7 linked regions of the Macaca mulatta genome follow. The protein of the gene in region 7 purifies or fractionates together with the protein of the main gene of each other region. This does not show direct contact. Links are inferred from orthologs where the notes say so. Each region holds a gene or a part of one and is shown on either strand. Other genes may lie near its edges.

Region 1 (3,820 bases), on a different chromosome or scaffold from region 7:
CCAGTACTCCAGTCTCCCTTCCCTCACCTGGCCCCTTGGTGCTCCTTCAGCAATCGTGCTGTCTACCTCTCACTGGGTCCTGGTAGGGGTTGGGATCTCTTCTCCTGGGGTGATTGATGGCCTGAGCCTGGGGTCCTGGTAGTAGAGACCCAGCTGGTCTGGGGTCTGCTTTCTGACATTTTGCATCTGTCACTGGTCATATATTTATTCCATATTTATATGGTCTACTTCCTGTGACTGGGAGCAGCAGCTCCTGAAGGTTTTGTGGGCGGGGGAACAGGACATTCCTTCCTGGAAGGCACCAATTTTCCCAGCCCCACTCCCATTACACACACACACACACACACACACACACACACACACACAGTGATTCAGGCCTTGAGAGTCAAGCCCAAGAGCTCCCTTGGCCCTGTCACCACTCCCTCTACTGGCCTCTGCTGTTCCTGTCTTTGCTCACACCCTTACAGCTGGTCTCTGGCAGAGGTTGGCATAGCCTAGGAGCAGCTGCAATTGCGCCTGAGGGACAGGCCCTAGAGTTTGGTGGCCCAAGTCCTGAACCCCTCTTGGACCAGGTGAGGTGCAGAGGTGGCTGCTGCTTCCAGTTTCCCTTCAGACTTAGCTGTATGAGCCCCACTCCTATCCTTTGGCCTTAGTTTTGCCATCTGTAAAACTCAGAAACACAGTTGGAAAGTCCTTGTTCATTTAGTCATTGAATATATTATAATATGTATAGAGCGCCTTTTGTGTAAGTTACTGGTCAGAGTCCTCACTGAGCTCCCAGTTCAGAGGGAAGCCAGACAATTAAAACAGTAATGACAATGATGTGTGTGGCCTCTGTCTACCCAAGGTCCCTTTCTGTTCCCCTCTTCTAATCTCACTTCCCAAGGCTGTGAGCTCTAAGCCCTCCCTACGTGGAGAGAAGTCACCCTCCCCTTGCTCCATGTTCAGCCCAGGGACTTGCATGGGGTTGAGCTGGTACCTACACAGGCTGCCAAGTGGCTCATGAGGGGAAATGGGTTGTGTATGTGGGCATGAGGGTCAGGTCCTTGTCCCACTAAGGGGATTAGTCTGGGATCTCCAGGGTGCAGCCTGGACTCCTAAGGGCAGATTAGGGCTGAGGACTGGATGATGCTTGTGGTAGGCTTGGGGCTGCCCAGGTCCCTGGGACTCAGAGGTACCCACCCTCTGTTCCTGGGCAAATAGCCAGAATCGTGGAGAGAGCCCAGGTCCCGGTGGACCCTCCGGAGTTTATTCACTTCCAGCAGTACTGGGCTGGACTGAGCCTTGGTGGCATCCGATTCGGCTCCAGCAGCATCCCAGGTCCTATCCAGGATGGGCGGAGCACGGCCAGTCAGAGTTCTGGCCTTCAGGAATCTAGAGATGACGGGAACAGTGGTCAAAGAGTTGGGGTCCCGCATCCACTTCCCAGGCCATGCCCTCCCGCCAAGCCGGCTCAGGGTTTGGGTGGCCTCACACCTTCCGACTCATCCCCTTCCTCGAAGTCGGGCTCGGGCTCTGGGTCCGGTTCTGGCTCCAGTTCCGGCTCTGGTTCTGCTTCAGGCTCGGGTTCCAGCTCTGGCTCTGGCTCCAGTTCAGCCTCTTCAGAGGCCTCTGCTTCCAGCTCTGGCTCTGGTTCCTCTGGGGTCCCGGATTGCACCGCCTCGCAGCCCTCCAGGCCCCCGGCCTCGTCGGTGTCTGAAGCTCTGGGCAACCCGGGGCATGTGGTCCCCGAGCCGGGTGCCTCCGGCGTCCAGTGGCCTGGGCATGGAGGGTCATAGCTGCGGTCCCGGTAACCTGGGGCGGAAGTGGGAGTGACTGAGGCTCAATTTATCCCTGTGAGGTTTCACACTCTCCTACTTCTAGGGGAGACGACAACCCCACCCTCCCCGGGCCTTTGGTCAGCCCCACCCCGTCCCCGCTCTGCCCTAGGCCCCGCCCCGAGCACTCACCCGGACCCACGTGCTGCCAGTCCCAGGCGGGGTCAGGCGCGCCCGCGGTACGCTGGGCACAGCGCAGCAGCTCCTGGCAGGCGGCCTCGCCCTTGCCCTGCACCAGCAGCAGTAGGCGGCGCACCCTGCGCTCGGCATCAGGCAGTGCATCCAATGCCTCGTACTCTGGCCCGGTGAGCACGCCTCGCGCCAACAGCGCGTCCAACAGCAGCCCCGAGTCCGCCTGCAATGTCTCGACCAGGCGTTTCCTTTCGCGGTCTATAGTCTCCGACGGCCGCTCCTGCGCGTTGCCCATTGTCAGGCCTGCATGGAGAAAGGGGAGAGAAGTAATAGAGGGCTGCCCTCCCCCCTGCCCTCGCTGCCTGTGACCTCTCTCTCATTGCCCCCAGTGAACACCCGGGCTGGGGTCTAAGTTCACCTTGATTCCAGCCGCCAGTGGTCTCCGCAAGCACAGGACCTGGAGGCCAACACAGGGAACTCAGTGTCCTCCTGCCTCTCCAGACGCTTCTGTCCTGTCTCCTCCTCAGGCTCCTCCTTCTGTCCCCAAACGTCAGCTGTGAATCTCTTCTCCTCCCCTGCCTTTCCCAGGACTCTGTCTACTCTCTGAGTGCCCTCCCCAACCGGGACCTCCTGAGCTAATCAGAGGCGGGTTCAGACCCCGTTTATCCAAACTAAGGTCTTTCTCTCAAATCTGCTTCACCACCTAACCAGGCAGAAAAACCTAGGATTGATGCTGATACTCTACACCCAGCTTGCAGACAAGTCCTTTCCAGTCTGACTGCTGAATATTTCTCTCACTATCCTCACTACTTACTAAGTCCAGCCTTCTGCCTCCTGCTTTGGCCCTGCAGAACCCAGGACTAGAGCTCCCTGCTTCCATAATCTACCCTCCAGTCCCCTCTGCACCCAGAGCACAAAGTGCTGAGAGCCTCCCTGCCTTTCTCCCCTTACCTTGACCCTGAGATCCAACTTTCCATGACAAGCCCTGCCTCTCCACCCTCCCACCAACACCACCACCATAATGCAACGCCAATGTGGTCTCATGGCCCATCCTGGTCCCCTGATTCCTGAGCAGAGATACCAGAATCTTCTTCAGGCCTAGCTCTGACCGAGATCTCTTGACATCACCTGAGACCCACCTGTCTCCCTGCTGAAGCCCTAACTCCCAATGTGACTGTCTCCCTGCTGACCCACCTGGCTCCCTGCTGACCTCGGAATGACCTACAGACATTTGTTGTTTGATCTTGAAGTACCCAGGGCCTAGCTCACACAAGCTACCGACAAATGCTTGCCGAACTTGGACTGATTTTCCTCCATGGATTGCCCTATTTTGAGAGACCTTTTTTTTTTTTTGAGATCGAGTTTTGCTGTTCCCAGGCTGGAGTGCAGTGCACAATCTCGGCTCACTGCAACCTCTGCCTCCTGGGCTCAAGTGATTCTCGTGCCTCAGCCTCCAGACTAGCTGGGATTACTTGCGCATACCACTATGCCCGGCTAATTTTTGAATTTTTAGTAAAGACAGGGTTTCACCTTATTGGCCAGGCTGGTCTTGAACTCCTGCCTTCAAAAGATCCACCTGCCTTGGCCTCTCAAAGTGCTGGGATTACAGGTGTGAACCACCAAGCCCGACCTTTTTTTTTTTTTTTTTAATTTTTAAGAGATGGGGTCTTGCTATATATTTTTTGTATTTATTCTTTTTTTTTTTTTAGTAGACACGGGGTTTCACTATGTTGGCCAGGCTGGTCTCAAACTCCTGACTTCGTGATCCACCTGCCTCGGGTTCCCAAAGTGCTGGGATTACAGGCGTGAGCCACCTGCCGGGCCTGGTCTTGCTATATTGACCAGGCTGGTCTCGAACTGCTGGCCTTGAG
Region 2 (3,897 bases), on a different chromosome or scaffold from region 7:
TTATGCTTGCTATGGCCTGCTCCCTGTGGTTGGAAGGACCATCTCCCCTCTAGGATGGAAGTTCTCCAACTGCTCCTGCTCAGCCCATTGCAGTCCTGTCTCCCAGGTCTATCGCCTCCAACTGCAAATCCTAATGGGCTCAGTTGTGCCCCTCCTTCTCAGTATTTACAGCTTCTTCCAGGAGGACACCCTCAAGACAGAGGCTTCAAGCATCACCTATGTGCTATGGTCCCCAAATGTGCACTGCTAACCCTGCCACACACTGTCCCCTCAGAGGCCAAGTTACCCTGAGCGGTTGAATTTGGTGCCTTGATTGTCCTCATTCCCCACATGTCATCCATCCACACCCCAAATACTTCTTGAATTCTTCCCATTCCTGTCCTGCTCCCTGGTCTTGACTCTGGACCACAGCAATAGGAGCATTTACAGATGAGTTTGTGTCTGCTTCACACTGGGTTCTTCCTTCTCCATGCTCTGCTCCTGACAAGCCCACGCGTGCAATGTGAGAGTTTGCCCTCAGGCAAGCCTTTCCTGTGGCCCTTAGTCATGGAAAAGAAATGCAAATTTGTAAATGGATTTTACAAGCCACTGCTTGCCACACTTGCCAGCCCTGGAAACCTTCATGCAGCAATCAATTCTTACCTCATACGCGCGGGGGAAAGAGGGAAAGAAGTGCGAGGTGAACACAGCAGTCAAGCACATTTCAGGCCAGGTTCCTGCTGCATCTGTCAGGGCTCAAATGACCTTACAGGGCACCATATAACATCCCAGGGGAGCGCCTCACACTCAAGGCCCTCCACCTGCTTCCTGTCTTGCTCCGCTTCAATCCAGGAGTGGGCACTCAGGATGCACATCCAATGCTGGTGGCCCTCTGCTGAAAACTTCGCAGGGACATCCATCACTCGTGAAATAAAATCCAGCTTCCTCTCTGTAGGATTTGAACCCACCTGTCTCTCTAACTTCGTAACCCTCCACTCCCCACAGTAGTCCCCTGCCGTTGCTCCATCTTCCCCAACCCCTGACCCCCGGCAATTGTTCCAGTGGAACCCTCCTAGGAGCACTCTTCCTGGTTCTCTGCACCTCTGGCCCTGCCCACCTCCGGATGTCAACCCAAAGTCACCATTGCCTGGAGGCCTCACCAGCCCCATCTCTGTTCCACTCAATTCTCCCTCAAGGTGCCTATCAGTCTCTTTGGCGGTCTCATTCATTTGTGTGTCTTGATACCATCCTAGCAGGAAGGCTCCAGAAGGACAGAGCCTTGAGCTGGAGGCACCCAATGCCTCTCTGTGGCATAAAGAACCAGGAAGTGCAAAGGAAACAGACTGGAAGCTCATGGAGACAAGGGGAGGAGGGGTAAGGATCAGAGACCCATCTTAAACATACCAGGCGGACACAATCCCTCTATGGGGCTGGATCTCTTTTGTTGTGGAGCCGCTCTTCGCTGGGGATCTAGGGATTGTCGGGTGATTGGAGCACAGTCAGCTGAGACCTGTGGGGACAAAGCAGGGATGGGTGTGAGTGGCTTCCAGAGCTCACCCCTCCCAGGATCCACTCACATTCCCTTGACCCCAGGCACGCAGGCTAAACAGAACCCTCATCTTTCTTGCAGCTCTCACCTCTCAAACATCCTTTCGTGTTTGTTCGTCCCTTCATATTTCAGGGAAGGCCAAGTAACATTCACTTGAAAAACTCTTCTAAACATGTTTATTCCAGAAAATGTGGGCAAGGAAAGTTTTTAGAAGAATACACAAACCACACATGATAATCTCAGCTAAAGATAGCATCCATTAATATTTTGTTTCATTTAGTTCCACTATTTTTCCATAGGTATGCCTATTCTCTCTCTCTTTCTCTCATTCTCTCTCTCTTACACAGACACACACACAAACAGACACACAGGCACACATACACATTTTTATAAATGGGGGTTATAATACAGCAAACTTAAAAAATTGGGATACAGGATCAAACATTAAATAGTGAACTTCTGATTTTAAAAGGTGCCTGACATATAGACCAATGGACTAGATCAGAGAGCCCAGAAATGAACTTGCACGTACAGCCATGCATTGATCAACATTGTTCTGAGCAAAGGGTTGTTAGGTGATTGTGTTGTGTGAACATCAGAGAGCATGCTTACACAAACCTAGATGGTGTAGCCTATGACACACCTGGCCTATATGGTATAGCCTCTTGCTCCTAGGCTACAAACCTGGGTAGTATGTTACATAATTGCTGGAGCCACCATCATATATCCAGTCTGTTGTTGGCAGAAATGTTGTTATGTGGTGCATGACTACATATATCAAGTAATTTTTGGAAAAGGTACCAAGACCATTTAATTGAGAGAGGACAATCTTTTTTAAAATGGTCTTGGGAAATCTAGATATTGACTTATCACAAAACAATGACCTCAGACCTTTAACTTACATATATACAAAAATTAACTCAAAATGGATCCAAAATCTAACATAAAAGTGAAAACCCTAAAACTTAGGAGAAAACATAGGAACGATTCTTCATGACCTTGGATTTGGCAATGATTTCTTGAATGTGATCCCCAAAACACAAGCAATATAGGAAAAAAATAGATAAATTGCACTATGTAAAAATTAAAAACTTTTGTGCATCAAATGATAATCAACGGTGAAGGGGCAACCCACAGGAAGAGGAAAACATTTACTAGCTATATATCCGATAAAAGGTTAATATCTAAAATATATAAAAACTCCAACTCAACAACAACCACCACAAGCCAACAATGTGGTTAAGAAATGAACAAAGAACTTGAATGGTAACAAGCTCTTGAGCAGCCAATGTGTCAAAGAAGAAATCAAAAGGAAAATTTAAAAATATATTAAGAAAATGAAATGGAAAGATAACATAACCAAATTTATGGGATGCAGCAAAAGCAGTGTTAAGAGGAAATGGCAATAAATGCCTACATCAAAAAAGAAGAAAGATCTTGAATACAAGACTTAATGTTATACCTCAAGGAAACAGAAAAAAAGATACACTAAGCCCACAGTTAGCAGAACAAAAGAAATAATAAAAATCAGAGCAAAAATAAATAAAATAGAGACTAGAAAAAAATACAAAAGACTATCAAAATTCTGTTAGTTATTTGAAAAAAAGAAATGAAATCAACAAACCTTTAACTAGACTAAGACAAAAGAAAGAAGACAAATCAAATAAAAAATGAATGAGGAGGTCAGGTGAGGTGGCTCACGCCTATAATCCCAGCACTTTGGGAGGCCAAGACAGATGGATCACTTGAGGCCAGGAGTTGGAGACCGGACTGGCCAACATGGCAAACCCTCACCTCTACTAAAATACAAAAAAAAAAAAAAAAAAAAGCCAGGCATGGTGGAGCACACCTGTAATCCCAGTTACTTGGATGGCTGGGTCATGAGGATCGCTTGAACCTGGGAGGCGAAAGTTGCAGTAAGCTGAGATCATCCCACTGCACTCCAGCCTGGGCAACAGAGGGAGACTCTGTCTCAAAGAAAACAAAAAACAAACAAACAAAAAAAACAACAAGGAGACACATTACAATGGACAGAAATGCAAAGGATCATATGAAAATATTATGAACAGGCCGGGCGCGGTGGCTCAAGCCTGTTATCCCAGCACTTTGGGAGGCCGAGACGGGCAGATCACGAGGTCAGGAGATCGAGACCATCCTGGCTAACACCGTGAAACCCCGTCTCTACTAAAAAAAAATACAAAAAACTAGCCGGGCGAGGTGGCGGGCGCCTGTGGTCCCAGCTACCCGGGAGGCTGAGGCAGGAGAATGGCGTAAACCTGGGAGGCGGAGCTTGCAGTGAGCTGAGATCCGGCCACTGCACTCCAACCTGGGCGACAGAGCGAGACTCCGTCTCAAAAAAAAAATAAAAA
Region 3 (2,578 bases), on a different chromosome or scaffold from region 7:
ACCTGCAATTGCACTGGAAATACACAGGCTGTGTTAGGAATGGAATGAGTCCCCAGAATATCTCTCTTGTTTCTGTGTTAGCTTCACTGATGGCTCAGGAGATGCGTTTAGAAGTGAAGATGCTGCCAGTGGGGCATTGGCCTCTTTCAGCCTCTTTAGCTTATTATGCAAGCCTCTAGTCCTCCTTTTCCATCCCTTAAACCCTCAGGTCACAACCATGTATCTGAAAGACAGTCCCCCTTGAGGTAGCAAGGCCCACCCTGAGAGGTGAGTTAAAAGGTGTCCTTTTCAATGTGCCCAAATACTCTCAGGCACTAAGATGAGTGTAGAACACCTGGTGGCTGCTTTTTCATGCTTCTGCCTCTTCACATGGCAGCCCAGAGTTTTACGTTCTTCCGTCATATTCCTCCATTTGTCTGGCTCATAAACGTTAGGTGAGTTGAGGAGCTACAGACCTTTTGAACCCTGTGGTCTCAAGGTCCACTTGGTTCACGTCTTCTTACTTGACCTCAAATGCATGTAAGGAGACCCTCACTGAATACAACATTTTCAGTGCCTATAACAAAGAATAATAATGGAAAGAATCCCAAAGTGCTTTCCTTAGAGCTTATATAGGCCAAAAAATGTCTGAGATTCCTCAAAATTGACCAGAGAGAGCTCAGATACATTGACATATAAATGATCAGCACTGGTAAGATTGAACACTGCCCCCAGGTAGCTGCTGTGGGCCCACATCTGCCCAGTAGTGCAGTAGCTCATCATCTTCCCCTCCATCATCACCAGATCCTGGGGATACTTAGAGTTCCTCATGTAGACCTTGTGGCTCAGGGGCAGGTTGGTGCAAGATTGACCCCGGAAGTATACTTTGGAATATACAAAGTACAGCCCAGTTTCATTGATCACAAGGCCACCCTTCTTATATTTCACTCCAGAAAGCAGGACAATTCCATAGGTGTCTTCCCATTCCAGAGGCATGGACCTTGAGTTGGGCTTGCCTGAAATAAATCCGAAAGGAGCTTTCAGCCAGGAATAGTCATGCATCCAACAAACTAAGTTTCTAAGGCAAAACTGTGGGCCCTTCCTTGAACAAATGTTCTACTCAGAATTACAGCCTGTATAGAACTGGCTGAGGGGTCAGAACTTGATCCATCACAGAATTTCCTCAACATTGTTGTCCTATTTTGTCATCCACACAATTAGAACAATAGTATAGTCGCCTAATCCATTGCAGTAAGAAATTATTGAGAAAATATTAGCTCTCTGGAGCACAAAGATTTTATTATCTTCAGAACTAGCACCCAAACTGCTAGGCTTTGAAGTCCTTTCCTGAAGAAAAAAGCCAAATCCAAGGAACTCTAAAATTCTAAAGTTGGGAAGGATCTTAGGGACCATCTGGTCCATCATCTCACCTGCAGTAAGAATTATTCAGCCCCTCAGTTTGGGGTACAGTTTCCTTTTCTTTGTATCCCCACAACGTCATGAACATAACCTAAATCTCTGCAGTACTGAAATTATCATAAATGCCTGTCTTTCCCTATTAGATGTCAAGCTCCCTGAGGGCAAGAGCCATATGCTACTCATTTTCACATCCCCAAATTGGTGCACATCAGGTATTGAGTAAGTGTCTGCTGATGTGACCGGATCATTCTACAATTTCTGCCTAAATAATTCCAGGGACAATAGCCTACCACTTTCTGTGATATTTATTCCATTATTTATGATTTATTTTTTTGGGAGTTTATAATGGGAGTGCCCATACCATATCATTTCACTCCACTTTACAGGCACATATTGAAAGTCTACAAGTGCCAGGAGTGAGTCTCCCTTCTTGCTCCTGTTTATACTCTTGGACAAAGCAGAGTGAAGCTCTTCCAAAAAACCAAGAAAGCGCTGACTAAAACAAGTCCTCATTCCTCACCTTCTCAGCTCTCACCTCTTGGATCTGTGCCCCCAATCACCTAAGGGACTTTGGAATGACTGAAAAGAATGAGCTCCTTATGGGCACGGGTCATGTCATAATCAGCTCCAGGTCTCCAATTTAGAAGGCCTTGCCCAGAGAATAGGGGATCGAAGTGTGTTTATAAGACTGACTCGACAAGGAAAATGTTAGTATGATTGAGTTCAAATACTGTCACCAGGAAGTAACAACTCTCTAGCACCTGGTAATGGAAACCAGGCAGCCATTTTGCCTTTTGCCAAAAGCTTTCCCAAACCCCACCCGTACCTTCCAGATACAGACCTGTTAAATGGGCCACTTTCCTCTGCTCCTTTTTCTCAGGGGGTGGACTGGGGTGACCTGTATCATAGAGAGAGGAAAAATATATGTTAAAATGAAATACCAACTATTATTTTGGTGGGAATTTAAATCCCATCATTTAAAAAAAAAAGATTTTAAAACCATAAATGGCAACAGTCTAACATATACTAATCATGTAAGTCTGAACTGCGGGATTCACCGTGGTCTATATTTCAGAAACAAAGAGGTAAAAAATAAACCAAATTAAGATTGACACATGCATAAATTATAATGTTACAATAAAATATAATTAATATAAACGTTTATTCATAATGAGCTGTC
Region 4 (3,897 bases), on a different chromosome or scaffold from region 7:
TAAGTAATCGGGGATGTTCTCTGAGTTGATATATAAGCTTTTACCTTGAAAGAAAGCTTCAAATTCTTGGCTGAGGGCTGATTTGGATGTACTCTCATGATATAAATGGATGCCACACTCTACAAAGGAATTGATGTTTATGGCTTTCAGAATTTCTTGCTCAGTGGTGTTTTTCACACTTTGCAAAGATTCCTGTCTCCAGAGAGGCCTCTTGGTGATGGAAAGCCCGAGAAGGCAGCCATGTTGATACACTGCTGCGAGGTGCTTCATAACAGCCCTGGTGGCTTCCACAGATGACCCACAGGTGTACCGGAGCAGGCTGCTATACGTGGATGTAATGTCCGAAATGGAAACCATTTTCTGCAAGTAACCATTCCCCTTGGTCACCTCCTCTGGCTCATGAGACGTCAATAAACTGCTGAGTCTTCGTCCTGCTGTGTACTCCTGGAATGACTTGTGAAAGAATTTATACTTTGGCTTGAACCTTTGAGCCGTATATTTACAGAGGAGCCCAGTTGTCAGCAGGACTTCCTCATTCACGCTGGACACATCCTCCAGTTTGAAATCAAACTTGTGGGAGAACACACCCTCCAGAGCTAGGTCTCCACAGTGGTCCAGGCTCCGAATGAAGTCACTTGCAGTCACACCTTTATGTTTGTGTTTGTTTTTCTGTATCAACAGATCATAGAAGGTATGGAACAGTGTTGTTTGTGTGTGAGAGTGGAACTCACTTTCACCCATCTGGATTGCACAAGTGATGACCACAAAGAGAGGGGTCTTCATGAGATTCCTCAAGCACCTGGATTTCTGAATTTGGAGCAACAAGCCTTCAGCAAGCTCCTCGATCAGCACTTCTCGGATGAGAGCCTGCGCGCTGTCTTCTGTCATATCCCCCACCTCAGCAATCAGGGCACCAAACTGCCGTATGTGCCTCAGGCACTCAGTGGTGGTGGTCACGATGACCATGTTCTTGAAGCGGTGGTTTTCCTTTATCAGGGCTTCGATTTCTGGGCAGTTCTGGGGCTTGAATTCATTGTAGCCATCAAGAAGAAAAAGAACCCTCTGCCGTAGCTTCAGCAGCATGGCCATGAATGTCTGCTTCCTGAGTGTGTCTGGTATATCCAAGACCTGATCACAGAGGGTTTCAAAAAGTCCGCCCTGGGCCCTGCTGAGACGGATGAAGAAGACGAATTTGAACTTGGTCAGAGCCTCGCACTTTCCGGAGCCCCAGAGCATGGCAATTCGCTGCAGCAGAGTGGACTTCCCTTTGCCAGATTCCCCTTCAATGATGCAGGGGCTCTGAAGAGCCTGCAGGAGGCCGTTCAGGGTCAGCTGCTCCACGCAGTGATGGTGTTGGTCCTTCCTCCACAGGACAGGTTCTGTGAAGGTGCTTTTGAGGCTAAAAATAATGTCAATATCTTCACCAAGGGGATAGAAGTTCAGAAAAGATGGGGTATGGTACCAGCCCTTTAAATCCTGAGCCAAATCGTCCAAGTCTCCTTCTGATATCTGATAGAAAAGACCTATTAGAGAAGAGGTGATGTTAAAGAGGACCCAATTCTGTGTCTCCTCAAAACCTAGTGTTCAGGAGGATGAACGAGGGGGTGAGGCTGAGAATCTGCCATTGGTGAACGTAATGTCCTTTCCCAGTTCCGAGCAGGCACAAAGGGTCCTGTCTGCTCCCCCTTTCCCCGGCATCCTTTACCCCACTCCCCTTTTTGCTTTCTGTTTCCTCCTTTCCACAACCAAATCTTATAGCAGCTGGTTGGAACAGGGAGGAGCTTGTGTATGGGTTAAGGAAAGTAAAGAATTTGGCGGAGAAAGATGGTTGGGGTAACTGTCAGCATATTAGGCCTTCACTCTAAGTAAAATCTGTCATGACCTTATTTACTAATTTAAAAAAATAAAAACTGAATTCATATTTCATGAAAAATAGAATTGTGCTCTTGTGTCAGTCAGGCTGTCTTTACCAGGAGGCCTGGACATGGTAGGTAGTCAGCTGGGCCTCTCTCCCATAGGTAGATCTCATCCAAGCAGGGAACGCTGAGAACCACTGCTGCATTGGCAGCTTAACTAGTACACTCATTGTCCTGTTTTATCTTGCAGTGACACTATACTCAGTCATTTATTCCCTGGCCCTGGGGTTGTTTGGCTTCACCATCAATTGATCTACTATGAATTTTTCCTAAAATCATCTAAGCTTTTCTTTAGCAGGAATCAAAGGCCATTGCCAGGTGATATGAAGAGGAGGAAAAGCAGAGGCTCTGCCATCTGCAAAACTAAATGATACTTACTTTGTCCATTCAAGTCCTGAAATAGAGGATAGTTCCATTCCTCAAGGGATTTAAGAAAGAGGTTACAGGCCTCTGAACCCTTTTTCAAAATCATGTGAATGATCCCTCTCGCAGCATCCTGCTCCACCTTCTCGCAGCAAATGTTGCATACTTCTTCGTAATTCAGAACATTCCATGCAAATAGGTCATCTGTAATTTGCTTTACAACAGTCATTCCCATTCTTTGAATAAGGGCTCGGATATTGTCCTTTATGAAATTCACTGAGGAGATGGGAAGAAATATATATATTTATTTGTTTATATATAATGTGCATGTCAGCATCTGTCTCCAGAGCATTAGGGCCATGCATTTTTTTCCTGTGGGCATCTCCTGAGTTATGGAGATGCCAAATGCTTGAATTCCAGGCCTTTAAGAAATGCTCTGCAAAGCAGTTCTAACCCCAGAGTCATTGATGAGCAAGATGGTTTTGCTTTGGTGATGAAGTAAGGTGAGTTATCTTGTCCCTCCGATATAAAACAGTCCCCATTGAGGTCGTAGTGGTAAGACCGTTGGCTTTAGAATAACAGCACTGGCCTAGGATCTGCCACTTGCTACCATCTGTGTGACTTTGGCAAGTCACTAAGCCTCTTTGAGTCTATTTCAATTCTGTGCTGCTGGCTGGGCACGGTGGCTCACACCTGTAATTCCAGCACTTTGGGAGGCCGAGGCGGGTGGATCACCAGAGGTCAGGAGTTTGAGACCAGCCTGACCACATGGAGAAACCCTGTCTCTACTAAAAATGCAAAATTAGCCAGGTGTGGTGGTGCATGCCTGTAGTCTCAGCTACTCGGGAGGCTGAGGCAGGAGAATCGCTTGAACCTGGGAGGTGGAGGTTGCAGTGAGCCGAGATTGCACCATTGCACTCCAGCCTGGGCAACAAGAGCAAAACTCCATCTCAACAACAACAAAAAAAGTTATGTGCTGCTAAATGGTTTCACAAACTGGCCTTCTAGGAGTAAAGGCCCTAATTTGTAGCATTCACCAATCCCTGTGGTATAAATATTCCTACCATGGCCTATTTCAAGCTAACAGTGTATGTCAGCTGGCTAACAAAATCCTGAAAATTCAATAATCAGGTTTCACATCACAGTAAGAACCAGCTCCAGCACACCAGGGATTCCTCATCCGTACAATGGTGTGGAGAACAGTATTTAACTTAGGAAGTTGTTACAAGAATTCATGTATAGTATCTCGTACAAAGTTATAACTCAATATATGATAGCTACTATTTTTAGCCTTTATTCAGGTGTCACCCTACAAAGGAAGAGCACATTTTATCTCTCACAGACTTTGGTCTTTTCTGAAGAGTATCACATCAAAACATTGATTTTTATCCAATGTAAGCTCTCCCGCCTGGCCTTGAGGATAGTTGTGTCCTTTTTGTGTCTGACTCTGCAATGTCTAATTCTGAAAGGCAGACCACACTGTACCCAGGCACTGTGCCCACTGTGCCCATGCTATGTTTGTGACAGCTTGGAGAAATGTCTTCCTGGTTTTTAACTCTCAGACACCGTCTGCACTAGATTTCTTCCTGGGCTAGGCTGCTTCTGGGTTTTTTTGTTT
Region 5 (4,674 bases), on a different chromosome or scaffold from region 7:
TCTGGGTAGGCGGCCAGCAGGGCAGAGGAGGGCGGGAGGTCTCAGGTGTTCGGCCTCCACCAAGCGCGGCTCCCACTGCTCGGGAAGAAGAGCGGCGGCTGTCGCTGCTCTGAGGCCACGAACAGATCCCCCAACCCGCTTCAGCCTCCTGTGGCCTCTGCCCTGAGATGGGAAAGGGGGGCCTGGAAGGGTAGGTACTGGGGAGGGGTCTTGAGCAAGGAGTGCTGGAGTAAGAGAGGAAAAGAGGAGAGAGACATCCACAATTAGTAGAAAGGAGTGAGCCAGCTGGTGGAGGGGGGCGGCGAGGGAGCAAGAGATGTTAGTGCACAAATAGGTAAATCATACACAGACGAGGACACACGTCTACCGTCAAGGTCATGCCACAAGCAGAGAAGAGAGCCTGCACAGCCAGGGGTCCTCTGTCTTGCTCCTCCCACCCTAAATCTTCTCCTTAAAGGTGGCTAAGCCCAGGCCCACCCACAAAATGCCCCAGGCCACCCCTTCCTCTCCACATGCCCGCCCACCCACGCACCTGCCAAGGCAGCCTGCAGAGCCCTGTACACTGCCACCTTCTGCTGGGGGTGCGCGTAGGCATCCGACAGGACCACCTTGTCCAGCGAGGATTCCACAAACAGGTATGCGCTGCCCACCCACTCTTCGTGCCCATTTTGCCCAGCTGCCATCTCACCTCCTGGAGATGCAGACAGTCGGGTATCCAGTTCATCCCCCCTCCCTCTGCCCTGGAGACAACCGTCCAGCCCCACGTGGTTCAGCGTCTCCACAGTAACCTCAAGTCCCACATGGTTCAGTTGTCCCCACCACTGGTTGGCATACTTGGGACAGGAGTTCACCATCTCACAGGAAGCCCCTTGAGCTCCTGGCCCTATACTGAGTCCCACCCACCCCACGCTTGCAGTGAGGACTGTCCCTCCACTGCCTTCTCAGCGAAAGAGCCCAGGGTCACAGTGGAGGGGAGCAGAGGCAGATTCTGCAGTGGGGCTTCTCTGCCTCCTCCTCAGGCCTGTGTGTCTCTCTAACCACCATGGACCAGAGACATCTTCATGCTGGATGGTGCTCATGCCCCAAAGCCAACAAGACCCATATGCTCCTGGCCTTGCCTTCTGAGTAGACTTGAGCCCAGCATCTCTGGAGGACCTCAGCCTAAGACTAAACCTCCTGTCTTCACTTTGAAGGACACCTGCAGTTTGCATCTACCCAGATTCCCTCCTGAAAGCCTGACTTACCTTAGGGACTTCCCTCCTCCCTCTTCTCAATCCATGTGCCTGTGTCCCACTCCCTAGTTTCAGGTCGGGCTTGTGCACCAGACCTGGCTAATCTGCACATTCCATTCACATTTCTGCAGTGATTAGTTCAGAGCAGGGTGTAGGACTTAAGTTGGACCCATGAGAATCAACCCTGCAACTCTGGTTGAGCCAATAGGAAAGAGGCACTCCTTTCCCTTCCCTTGGGACTGAACTGGAAGGAAGAGGTAGCTCTCCTTTAATACTGCTTGGGAAGAGTCTGGCTGGGAATGAAGCTGACACAGAAAGAAATAGTCAAGAGATGGAGCAGTGCATTCCCAACCATACTACGCCCCTGGATCCAGCTGTTCCTGAAGCCACTGCACCCTGGACTTTTCAGTTATGTGAGCTAAATAATCCTTTTTTGTTGTAAAGCCCTTGGAGTTCGGCTCTGGTCATTTCCAACACAAATTGTTCTATTCCTTCCCTGTCCAGAAAAAGCCAGGGCCCCTTGGTGCTAGCATAGTATCTCCTTCCTCCATCTTCTGACAAAAACCTAGCCCTGGACCAGCTGAGGCAAAATTCCCAGCCAGGGAACCACTGCACTGACCCACAGCTCAGTGGTCTCCCAGTTACTACCCCATGAGACAGCAAGTAAGAAACTGCCCTCCCTCTTTCTCCCCACCTTACCCTTTTCCTAGAATCATGGGATCAAGGCCCTACCTCCTGCCCCATCAGTCACACTCCTGCACTCTCCAGTCATCAGGGTTTATATATGGTGGGCTAGGAGGAGTGTTGAGTGTTAGCTATGGGGCAGGACAGATGGGGTGGCCCCAGCTGCCATCTGTTTACATGAGGAACAGGAAGCTATCCTGTCCTGGCCTCGCAACGTGCTGGAATTACAGGAGTAAGCCACTACTCTCGACCTTTGTTTTCTAAATTTTCTTGTTTTTGAGACAGGGTCTTGCTCTGTCACCCAGGCTGGAGTGCAGTGGCACTATCACGGCTCACTGCAGCCTTGACCTTCCCGGCTCAAGCAATCCTCTCACCTCAGCCTTTCAAGTAGCTAGGACTTTAGGCATGCGCCACCAAGCCTGGCTAGTTTTTGTATTTTTAGTAGAGATGGAGTTTCACCATGTTGCCCAGGCTGGTCTCAAACTCCTGGGCTCAAGCGATCTGCCCACCTCAGCCTCCCAAAGTGCTGGGATCACAGGTGTGAGGCACCACACCTGGCCTCCTAATCTTTTCATAGAAAACATTAATACTGTGTACTTACACCAAACCACAGTCTGGATAGTAACAGGAAATTTGCATTTTGTTTATCTCTGGGCAGGATGGAGGGAGGGAGGTGGGGGTGGGGAAGGATTGTGGGTGATTTTTATTTTCTTTGTATTTAGCAATATTTTCTGCTTTATGTGAAGTAGAGACATTTTCTTTGTATTAAAAGAGCAAAATAAATTTGTTTTCTTTAAAAGCAAAACAAGAAAAAGTGGGAAACTCTGCAGGTGACAAGTGGGTCCATGATAGGGAGCCAGCCACGGAGGTGAGATAAGGGGGAGTCCTAGGAAAGTGGCCTGGGGAGTAGGAGAGAGTGAGAACCTCCCCTGGAAACGTTCCCTCTTTCACGTCTTCCTAGCCCCTTGACTTGGGAGTGCTGACCCGATGGTTGTGGCCCCACCCCAAGGGGTGGAAGTGGGGACCAAACGGGACCAATGTCTGCCCATCAGGTCTGCAGGGGAGGGTGGGGAGGCAGGGAGTACTGGGAACCTGGAGACTGGGGATGCTTCCTCACACTCACTAGTACCAGACCCATGGGGGAGGTAAGCCAGGCTGGAGGTCGAGTTAACAGGGTAAAGAGGCCAGGGCCCTAGTTTCGCATCCGCCGATTGGCAGCTCTTCTAACGTGTTCTTTCACAGAAGCCCCTCCTTGGGAAGCCCCGCGCCCCACCCACCCGTAGTCGTCCCTTTTTGGGAGGGGCTGAGGCTTCCAGGCTGGGTCCTGAGAACGTTTGGTGGCCGGAGACTGTGGGGCACTTGGGTACCGACCTAACAACGTCTGCCGCCATTTCCAGGGGCGAGCCACGCACGGTGCCCCTTGAACACTTAACAGTCCCGGGGGCAGCCCCACCTCTGGCTGGGTGGACAGGGACAGCCTGTGGGCGTGGCCCAGAAATGAAAGCCTGCGACTCCTTGCGACCCGCCGGGCACACCCCCTACTCAGCTACGCAGCTCCCGAGCGCTGGAGGGGAGCTTCCCAGGCTCCCACTAGCCCACCCTCAAGCTGGGGTTTCGCACGTGCGATCGGCTGGGGTGGACAGGGGGGTCTCCGCTCAAGGAGGTGTTCAGAACCACCCCTCCTCCCCCACCCTCTCTCCTGCGGGGCCCTACTGCTCCTCGAAAGCGCTGGCAGGGACGAAGAGCCTGCGGGGGCCAAATTCAGTACCGCCCCCCGCCTCCCACGGGAACAGCCCAATAGGCCGCCGCCACCAGCTGGCTGGAGCAGCCGCTGGTGACATCTGCGCCGCGCCCACGCTTCGGAGCCAAGATCCACCTCCGCTCCCGCCCGCACTGGGGAGCCCACCCACACACCCACCCACCAACTGCACTAACCTGGCCGCCTCGGCTGGGCCTGGGTTCCCACGCCCGCCAGGCTCCGCTCTACTCGCGCCGCTTCCGGGTGTGCGCGGAGGCGCTGGGGCGGTGCCCTAGCCCGAGCCTCCTAGTCCGCCCGCGCGTCCTGCTCCGCGGGCTCCCGGTGGCTGCTTCCCGCCCGCTGCCCTCTGCTGCCAGTCCCCTGTCCCGGGCAAAGCCCATCTGGTTCGCTGAGCAGGTAAGACACCAGCGCCCAAGGTTAGACGGCAGGAAGACCGGGACTTTGGGGGTTTGCGATTTTTACGAGGCCGGGGGCTCGTAAGAGCGAGAGCTGCCAGATTTCGGTAGATCAAGGGAGCGCCCCCTGGAGACCAGAATTTTCTGGTGCCCCTGGGGATCCGGCTTCAAGATCGCTGCTGCCAGTGGGCACTCAAAACGGGGTGCCCATGTGTCCCAGGTACAAGCCCAGCCGAGCGTATCTGAAGCCCCAGGAAACACGTGGCACAAATTCCGGGAGAAACTGTTAGCCCGGAAGATATGGGAACATTAACTGGCGAGTAGTGTGAAGCCTTGTGTACGCAAACCTTCAGGAACCTTAAAACAAGATTGGCGGCCCGGCGCAGTGGCTCACGCCTGTAATCCCAGCACTTTGAGAGGCCGAGGCAGGTGGATCACCTGAGATCAGGAGTTCAGGACCAGCCTGGCCAATATGGTGAAACCCCATCTCTACTAAAAATACAAAAATTAGCCGGACGTGGTGGCGCGCGCCTGTAGTCCCAGCTACTCGCGAGGCCGCGGCAGGAGAATCTCTTGAACCCGCGAGGTGGAGGTTGCAGTGAGC
Region 6 (4,484 bases), on a different chromosome or scaffold from region 7:
AGAACCTCCCAATAGGACTTCATATCAGAATAAGAAACAGACTAACAATAGGCTAGGCATGGTGGCTCACGCCTTTAATCCTGGCACTTTGGGAGGTCTAGGTGGGAGGATCACTTGAGCTCATGAATTTGAGATTAGGCTGGGCAACATAGTGAGACCCAGGTCTCTACGAAAACAAAAAATGAAAAACCACAAAATAATAATAGAACAATAAATTCTATACTTCTAAGAACAGATATTGGAGCTCAATCATTTTAACTCAACTGCCAATGAAATTTTATCATCACCCTCCAGGTACCAACACAGGGGCATGTCTGCCTGGCTTTTCACCCTGAAATCTTTAAGCATAATCAACTAGTAGAAGGAATGAAAGTCTAGAAGCAGACAAGGAAAGAAGTTTCCACCAGGAAGCCACTCTGGCAAATGAAGGAGGAAAGGCGGCAAAGACCAGCATCTACAACCCATGCCAACAGTGCAGGATGATGCAAATTTACATGATGTGGGATCTCTCCAGTATGGAACAGTGTAAAAAGCCAGCTCGGATTCACTAGCCCTTAGTAGGGTGTCTGGTCACAATTCCTAATTTCCAAGAAGATGAAGAAGTTTTCAGAGCACAAAGACATTCCCTAGGAAATTTCGCAGTGATTGTTAATTCCATTCCTGCCGCATCCTATTTGCCAGGGCAACTCTCCAGTTAATAAAAATGTTAAACCTATGGAAGAGGGAGGAGAAGAAATCTAGATTTTAGGGTAGCTACTCCTGCGTGGGTCTAGACTCTCTTAACACCATTAATAAGGTGGTCTAAATTCTTGTGGCCCACTCACAGGGGAGAGGTTGGACTAGATGACCCATGGTTTCTCCTGAGGAGTTTTCTGGTGATAGTTTTAGATTAGGATTCTTAATCTGATTGCTGGGAAAGGCATAGTGGGAGTCATTCTCTGGATCAGATGGTGCTCTCTTTTGATGTCAGACGTCCTCTACAGGTGGAATTGGGCAAAACCATAACAGGACAAAAATAACACATACACCTTTCCTTTGTGGCACAGCAAAAGTCTCTCTCACGATATCATCCATCCATCCATCCATCCACCCACCCACCCACCCATCCACCCAACAAGCACTACCTGACCACTACTGAAGGCCAATCACCATGCTTGATGATGGGATTAAAAGTCAAAGATGACCTTATTCCCTTCCTTGAAATCACACTACCAACTTAGTCTGCAGCTAAGGCAACGGAGTTACAGGTACTGCTCAGATCCCACAGCCATTCAGGGGCGAAGTTTTGCCTAGGAGCCAGGTCTTTCAATACCTGCCCCTTGCAATCCCACAACACCAAACCTGTGGCTACAGTGCCTGCCACAATCAGATGGAAAGAGATGGGCAATAGGAAGATTTTAAACAAATGAGGTGTTATCTCTTTTTGCTTGTCTGACCCTTTTTTCTCTTCTGAATCTAAAGATTTTTCACCAAAGATCTAAAATAGTGAGAGCTGTAAACCATATGCAAGACATGCAAATGTCAATATTGGATACCCCAGTGTGATCTCATTGGTAGGTTTAGCCTTGCACAGCCTGTAAAACTGCCTCCTTAGAAATCAAAACCCACTGTCCAAGTTTCCAGTTCTTGGATCTCTCTACACTTAAGATTAAAGAATAAATGTTTCAGATACATTATAAAGTGGCAAACAATGCAATATTACCCTTAACTTTTTTTTTTTCTTAACATTTGTTACCTCTCTGTCTTATTTAAAGGTAATTTCTCAACTTTTGTCACTAGGATTCTACAGAACTTCTCCATTGCTCAAACTCTTCTCCCCCTTGTTTTATTTTTCCACTCTGGGCAGATATTTTTGTCTGCGTTGTGGAAATTGATGAATTATTTATCAACAAATACCTCATCCAAATTTGGGGATGTGCCTATCAAAAATAGTACTAAGAATTGAAAAAAAAAAAAAAATCAAAGCAGCACCTTAAACAATGAGAATGAAGCATTCATTGGCTGCTCAATAATCCAGTACATTAAGGTTGCGGGTCCAGAAGCCCCTTTAATTAACAATGGTTCCACCAAAATGCTGCCCTGAGACACTTGACCAGACTGGCTTTCCAAGGCAAGAAGATCTGAGGCGAGGAGAACTGAAAACAAAGCGGGTTCAAAAAGAGTTAAGCTCCTTCCTTACTTAATGCCACTGCTTTCCTGAGAGGCCAGGTGGCAGGATGTGGGACGACTCCGGCTGACAAAGACAGTCTAACCGTGGGGTAGGGGCTGGAGCAGGCGCCAGCGACCCATGTCTACATGCATACTTCTCTTACACTGCTGCAGCTGGAAAAGCTAGACCCTGCGCCAGGACCCCAGCCCTGTGCACGGACCCCTGAGCGTCTGGGAAGCTGTCTCTGGGACTGAAGCCCCCCACCTCCGCCGGGCTGGCGGCCACTGCGGTACCCTACTCCCCGTCGGGCTGGCCCTGCACAATTTGGGAAAAAGCCGCAGCGCTTCTGCAAGGTCTACGTGGCCAGGAGCATGCAACGCTTGGCTCCCAAAAAGACACGAAAGGAGCAAAGCATCAACGACCACCCGATCAGAGGGCCCGAGGGGCGCCTCTTCACCAGTCAGCTGCAGCTTAAGTTCCGTGCATTATCCGAAAGGAACAGCTGGCTGGAGGTATCCAGGGCTGTCACTCCAACCTCTGAAGCGGTGACCTCAACTCCCAGCACTTCAAAACCCAGACAGAAACAAACGTCCAACAAACTCCCACTCCAGGAGCGCTGCAAAACCAACGCCAGGTAGACGGAGCCAGCCCGGGGGTCGCTGCCCAACATGCATCCGCAGCCCTAGGCTGCGGTGAGCCCGAGGCAGACGGCACTGGGAGGCGCAGTGGTTACCTCTCCGGGCCCCGCGATCCTTTCGCAAAGTCCCAAGTCCGGGTCAAAGCAGGAGCGCCCAGCAGGCGGAGGTCGGGGCCGGGACCGGGCGGAGGCGACGCTCCATGGACGCCCGGGGTCGGGCTCGCTCGCTGGCAGGGTCGGCCGGGGGTGTGATCTCTCTTGGCGGCCGCTATCGCCGCTCCGCCCCCGCGGGCTCCAAGTTCGCTTGGCCCGCCACGAAGACTGCAGACTGCGCAGTCTGCTTTTCCCCGTTTCAGTTGTATGCGGGTCTAGGCCCGGGGATTTCCACGGTACTTTCCAAAGTCACGTGACTCTCTGGGTAGGGCTGCGAATTGCGTCCCGCCGGCCGCCAGAGGGCGCAGGGGGCGAGGGGCTTTCGCGGCCTCCGCGCCCCGACCCGCCCCCTTTCCCTGCCCCGCCCCGCTGCCTCGCCCCGCCCAGTCCCCGCGGGCCCAGGGAGAAACTCCCTCGCCCCGCCCCGGGGTGTCCCCGCGTGAGTCACCTGGGCATTTCGGAAGCTGGGGTCACGTCACATCCATGTGGAAATCGCGGTGATGGGAACTGGAAATGAAATAGGTTCTTTTTCGCAGTTGTTTTTCTGCAGAAAATCATCAACTGTGGAGAAGAAGAAGGGAAATAAGAAAAAAAGAAAACCCTAAAAACCACCCTGGCGTCCGGGCCCGCAGGCCTCGGGCTGGCTCTGAAAAGTTTGGGCTGTGCACGTGATAAGCGCGTAGGCGGGAGCCCCAGACAGGACCCGGGCGGGAATTTCGAGAAAAAGCAGCAGTGACAGCCTTTGGTCCCCATCTCCATTGTTCCTGCCAGCTCTGGACCCCAGGCTGCATGAGACGTAGGTCCCAGGGAACACCCGACCCCGTGGCCCCAATCTTAGGTAAACTTAGGAATCAGAACAACATTCACCCCTATGCCACCCTTGCTCCATTTCCCCTTCTCTATTTCTGCTCACCAAGCATCCAGCTGACATTGCATTCAAGCAGCATTTCAGCTTAGAAATCGCTTCTAGTCCATCACCGTGCTTGCCATGTGTCTCCAAGGCTTTATTAGGTGTGTTTTTAGTTGTCCTGATTATCAGTTCACCCCAGGGTGCTGATGGCTGATAATACTGGCGCTCCCTTCCCCACCCCCATGCGTTGCATAGGGAGAGTGAGTCATGTGGAGATGGGTGCAGTCCCTTGGGCAGTGGGGGTGCAGGTCCTGTGCAGGGAGGAGGCTTAGGGTGCTTTTACTGTCTTACTGCCCTCTAAGCACGGGACCCTTTGGATCATTTACTAGATTGGCTAAACTAGAACCAGTTGGAAATATTCTGTACTGTGGTCCCTTTAATTACATTTAAGAATACTCGTCAGGCCATATATCACAGGTTTTTAATTAGAAAAGTATCCTCCTCTCGCCCGTAAGTACCTGCAGAGATGGGGATGCGAGCTGGGTGGAGGATGGCACTGTTTTGGCAAAAAGAAGTTTAGAGCAGGCCGGGCGCGGTGGCTCACGCCTGTAATCCCAACACTTTGGGAGGCCGAGGCGAGCAGATGACGAAGTCGGGAGATCGAGACTATCCTGGCTAACACGGTGAAACCACGT
Region 7 (3,897 bases):
TTGCTGCTTACACCTAATCACAAAGGAGAAGCATTTTTGAAATGTTAAGTCAAACGAAAAGGCTTTGCTTTTTCCATTCCTGCTAGACTCTCCAAACCACTCCCCCATCCAGGCTGGCACGGCTGCTAGAAGATTTGGTAGGAGGCTTCTTACCCCCTCCACCTTCCAACTATTCCAGTATCTTCATCTTGGGTCTTAAAATAAAATTTGAATGCATAGAAAACTGAAGGAGTCACGTTTTAAAAATTAAGTCATATTTTTAACTGTTTTTATGTGAATTTTTTCTACAGTTCTCAAAATTTTCAGTAAGTTTTTGCCTCTTATCGGTTTATCTGGCAGCTTAAAAAAAAAAAAAAAAAGCTAACAAATTAAGTAACTAGAATCTGTAATGTAAAAAGAAAAAGGATTTGGAGGTTTCCATCTACCTGTGATTCACTATCCTGTTCTCTTGGAGAGTCCGAGATTGTCATTAGCCCACACAACTCCTCCCCTGCAAATAACAAAGAGACACGTGTAGAATGAGACATGGCAGGAAAGGTACACTGGTAATGAAATATGTAGCACATAGAACAACATAAGGTCTTTTTTCAGATGAAAATTCAAGCTGGGCACAGTGGCTCACGCCTGTAATCCCAGCACTTTGGGAGGCCAAGATGGGAAGATAACTTGAGATCAGGAGTTTGAGACCAGCCTGGCCAACATGGTGAAACCCTGTCTCTACTAAAAATACAAAAAAAATTAGCCGGGCATGGTGGTAGGCACCTGTAGTCCCAGCTGCTCAGGAGGCTGAGGCAGGAGAATCACTTGAACTCGGGAGGTGGAGGTTGCAGTGAGCTGAGATCACACCACCACTGCACTCCAGCCTGGGCGACAGAGTGAGACTCTGTCTCAAATAAATAAATGAAATGAAATGAAAATTCACAGACGGCCATAAATATAATCTCCTTTCAACCCAGAGAGATTCTGCAAGCAGGGCAATTAACATGCTTCTGGAAATATAAGATCAAATTGTCTCCTCGCCAAAGAGAAAAACATACCAAGAAATGCCATAATTTATATTGCTCCACATGGCCAGGTTGAATTTTTGTGGTATTTGTGAGATACTCATTAATAAAGCCACTAGCTTAGGATGAATTAATGATTTAGTACTTTACTCCTTAAAGTATTCTTAAGGAGTAAAGCTTGGGCTCAGCAGGCAGGGAGGAAAGGGAAGGAGAGCCTGCGTGGACATTAATCTTTAAAATACATTTGAATGATCCAAAATGTATTTTATACACACACACCACAAAGAGCCAAGGTAAAAATACAATAAAAATATAACCAATATTAATGGAGCGATGGCGTTCTTGGACTTATAAAAATTTATCTGAATTTAAAATCATCTTCAATGAGTATATATAATTTTTCTAATCAGAAAGAATACTTTATTAATTGCCTATAGTCCCAGCACTTTGGGAGGCCCAGGTAGCCGGATGGCTTGAGTTCAGGAGTTTAAGACCAGCCTGGGCAACACAGCGAAACCCCATCTCTACAAGAATACAAAAATTAGCCAGGCATGGTGGCTTGTGCTGTGGTCCCAGCTACTCAGGGGGTTGAGGCAAGAGGATCGTTTGAGTCCAGGAGGTAGAGGCTGTGGTGAGCCAAGATTGCGCCACTGCATTCCAGCCTGGGGGACAAAGTGAGACACTGTCTCAAAACAACAACAACAACAAAAGAATATTTGATTAATCAAAATTTCGGAGGAGATCATTGAGAGTTCTCTCTCTTGATTCAGCCTCGCTTACCCAGGTAGAAAAAGTGAAAGGAAGTTGAAAGGAGTTGTTTAGTGTAGAAGGTGTTGACAGAGGAAGTGACTTAACCAAGGAAATTATGAAACATAATTTAAATCCAGCTACTCAGTGCATAACATGAGCAGCACATCAAGGAATAACATGAGCAGCACATCAAGGAGAAAAAAAAAGTCACATAGAAAAAATGATGTTAAATTACTTATGACTGACTCACTCTGCACCTGTTTCAAACTTGCCAGCCTGGGCTGCAGGTCTTAGGAGAGCAGGTGCGGCCGAGCGCGGTGGCTCACGCCTGTAATCCCAGCACTTTGGGAGGCCAAGGTGGGCAGATCACCTGAGGTCAGGAGTTTGAGACCAGCCAGGCCAACATGGTGAAACCCCATCTCTAATAAAAACACAAAATTAGCTGGGCGTAGTGGTGCGCGCCTGTAATTCCAGCTTCTCAGGAGGCTGAGGCAGGAGAATTGCTTGAACCCAGGAGGTGGAGGTTGCAGTGAGCCAAGATGGTGCCACTGCTCTCCAGCCTGGGCAACAAAGTAAGACTCTGTCTCAAAAAAAAAAAAAAAAGTAGAGCAGGCACATTAGGACGTGCATGTGGTAGAAGGCTGTGGGGAGGACACACGCAGGTACCAGAGAGTAAATTAACTAAATCTTGAAAATGTATCTCCAAGCATTACCATTTGAACCTTCCTCAGGACTTCCTTCAAGGCTCCTTGTTCTCTCTGAATTAAAAGAGGAAACCCCCAACAATATTTGATTAGAAACAACTGTGACATGGACAGATTTGTCAGTTTCAATTTTAGAGTAGGTTTTGCCAATTCCCGGCTGTCAGGTCGTTTCTACCTCTGCTGAATTCTTCATAGTCATTGATTATCTTCAGCAGGCTCTTGTTGACTTGGGCACAGACTCTCTTCAGGATGTCCAACTTGCCTTCTCCCAGGATGACCCTCTTCTCCATCTCTACGAAAATATCCAGCAGGTTCTAAGAGGAAGAGAAATAAAGTTGGGAATCTGGATTGAGCCCTACTGGTTTTTAGATTAGATTTTTTTTTTTTTTAACTTCCACTTTCTCCAACCAAGGACCTGCCCTTGCTTCCCAAGTTTCTGACAGCTTCTGCTGGTCTCTCACAGCCAGCAGGCTACTAGGGAAGCGATTCCATGTTTTCTGGCCCAGAAAGACAGAAATGAGAGGATAAAGGAGAAGCCATGTCAGATGTCACCCAGTCCCCAGGCCCTGTGCTCAAATCTCCTGCGAATGCATTACTTGAGGACTGTAAAACAGCCTGAGCAGCCCGGTCACCATGGTGATGCCCTGGGGACGGCCTCACCCCCAGCATTGCCTCTCCAGACCTGAGTACCTACAGACACACAGACACATACATACACACATGCACATACACACACACACAGATACACACAACACACACAGACTATACTCAGTGATACACACATAGAGGCATAAATACAATACACACTACACAACACACACACAGACACATACCACAAGAGAACACACACACACAGACACAGAGATACACAGACACACATACCACTTATACAGAGACACACAGAGATACACATATCACACACAAATACAGACACACACTATACACAGAGAAAGGCACGCACAGACACAGAGATGCACATACAACACACAGACATGCAAAACACACACAGAGACACACAACACACAGAGACACAAAACACAGACACACCACACACAAACACAATATACACACAGAGTTCCAGGTCCCAGGTCGTTTCGGGGACTGCGGAAGTGGAGGAAATGCCTCAGACTCACCGCTGTCTTTCCCAGCTCTGCCGGGTCTCAGGCTGGGCTGCATCTGCACAACCAGCCTCCTTCTCCCGGCCCCTGACTCCGCCTTGCTCCCGGTAATTAACATGCGCAGCACTTCAGTATAGAGGAATCACATCTGTAACACTCGTGCTGACAACTTTCTTCTTCTGGTCAAAAAGTGAGAATCCAGGTTGCTTTTACCAAAATACCCCCTCTCTTTGGTCTCAGAAATGCCCCCTGGCTAACCAAGTCTCAGGACTAAATCTCAGTAAGATACCAGGTCTTACCATGTCATCATCCAGTTTGCAT

The links.
Region 1: the proteins of CASP8 (region 7) and NOL3 purify together in Homo sapiens (affinity purification with western blotting; 3 studies listed by BioGRID and IntAct, with this or other methods). This does not show direct contact. The link is inferred for Macaca mulatta from reciprocal best matches to the Homo sapiens genes CASP8 and NOL3.
Region 2: the proteins of CASP8 (region 7) and TNFRSF10B purify together in Homo sapiens (affinity purification with western blotting; 14 studies listed by BioGRID and IntAct, counting the BioPlex papers as one, with this or other methods). This does not show direct contact. The link is inferred for Macaca mulatta from reciprocal best matches to the Homo sapiens genes CASP8 and TNFRSF10B.
Region 3: the proteins of CASP8 (region 7) and FASLG purify together in Homo sapiens (co-immunoprecipitation; 8 studies listed by BioGRID and IntAct, with this or other methods). This does not show direct contact. The link is inferred for Macaca mulatta from reciprocal best matches to the Homo sapiens genes CASP8 and FASLG.
Region 4: the proteins of CASP8 (region 7) and NLRC4 purify together in Homo sapiens (affinity purification with western blotting; 3 studies listed by BioGRID and IntAct, with this or other methods). This does not show direct contact. The link is inferred for Macaca mulatta from reciprocal best matches to the Homo sapiens genes CASP8 and NLRC4.
Region 5: the proteins of CASP8 (region 7) and TRADD purify together in Homo sapiens (affinity purification with western blotting; 6 studies listed by BioGRID and IntAct, with this or other methods). This does not show direct contact. The link is inferred for Macaca mulatta from reciprocal best matches to the Homo sapiens genes CASP8 and TRADD.
Region 6: the proteins of CASP8 (region 7) and TNFAIP3 purify together in Homo sapiens (affinity purification with western blotting; 3 studies listed by BioGRID and IntAct, with this or other methods). This does not show direct contact. The link is inferred for Macaca mulatta from reciprocal best matches to the Homo sapiens genes CASP8 and TNFAIP3.

Annotation. Positions count from the first base shown.
Region 1 is NC_133425.1:62,715,857-62,719,676, reverse strand, and holds NOL3 (nucleolar protein 3), read right to left. Parts: upstream 2,459-3,820; 5' UTR 2,368-2,458; intron 2,253-2,367; 5' UTR 2,245-2,252; coding exon 1,960-2,244; coding exon of another isoform or gene 1,950-1,959; intron 1,795-1,949; coding exon 1,477-1,794; intron 1,375-1,476; coding exon 1,324-1,374; 3' UTR 698-1,323; downstream 1-697.
Region 2 is NC_133413.1:24,712,714-24,716,610, forward strand, and holds part of TNFRSF10B (tumor necrosis factor receptor superfamily member 10B), read right to left. Parts: intron 1,490-3,897; coding exon 1,384-1,489; exon of another isoform or gene 375-1,383; coding exon of another isoform or gene 287-374; intron 1-286. UniProt on the Homo sapiens protein: Receptor for the cytotoxic ligand TNFSF10/TRAIL. The adapter molecule FADD recruits caspase-8 to the activated receptor.
Region 3 is NC_133406.1:30,162,302-30,164,879, reverse strand, and holds the end of FASLG (tumor necrosis factor ligand superfamily member 6), read right to left. Parts: intron 2,297-2,578; coding exon 2,240-2,296; intron 996-2,239; coding exon 601-995; 3' UTR 585-600; downstream 1-584. UniProt on the Homo sapiens protein: Cytokine that binds to TNFRSF6/FAS, a receptor that transduces the apoptotic signal into cells. Involved in cytotoxic T-cell-mediated apoptosis, natural killer cell-mediated apoptosis and in T-cell development.
Region 4 is NC_133418.1:92,672,024-92,675,920, reverse strand, and holds part of NLRC4 (NLR family CARD domain-containing protein 4), read right to left. Parts: intron 2,556-3,897; coding exon 2,295-2,555; intron 1,524-2,294; coding exon 1-1,523.
Region 5 is NC_133425.1:62,699,120-62,703,793, forward strand, and holds the start of TRADD (tumor necrosis factor receptor type 1-associated DEATH domain protein), read right to left. Parts: upstream 2,860-4,674; 5' UTR 855-2,859; coding exon 533-854; intron 1-532. UniProt on the Homo sapiens protein: Adapter molecule for TNFRSF1A/TNFR1 that specifically associates with the cytoplasmic domain of activated TNFRSF1A/TNFR1 mediating its interaction with FADD.
Region 6 is NC_133409.1:42,959,722-42,964,205, reverse strand, and holds the start of TNFAIP3 (tumor necrosis factor alpha-induced protein 3), read right to left. Parts: upstream 2,936-4,484; 5' UTR 2,883-2,935; exon of another isoform or gene 2,023-2,882; coding exon of another isoform or gene 1,972-2,022; intron 1,051-1,971; exon of another isoform or gene 825-1,050; intron 40-824; exon of another isoform or gene 1-39. UniProt on the Homo sapiens protein: Ubiquitin-editing enzyme that contains both ubiquitin ligase and deubiquitinase activities.
Region 7 is NC_133417.1:106,386,044-106,389,940, reverse strand, and holds part of CASP8 (caspase-8), read right to left. Parts: coding exon 3,876-3,897; intron 2,773-3,875; coding exon 2,634-2,772; intron 2,513-2,633; coding exon 2,468-2,512; intron 491-2,467; coding exon 426-490; intron 1-425. UniProt on the Homo sapiens protein: Thiol protease that plays a key role in programmed cell death by acting as a molecular switch for apoptosis, necroptosis and pyroptosis, and is required to prevent tissue damage during embryonic development and adulthood.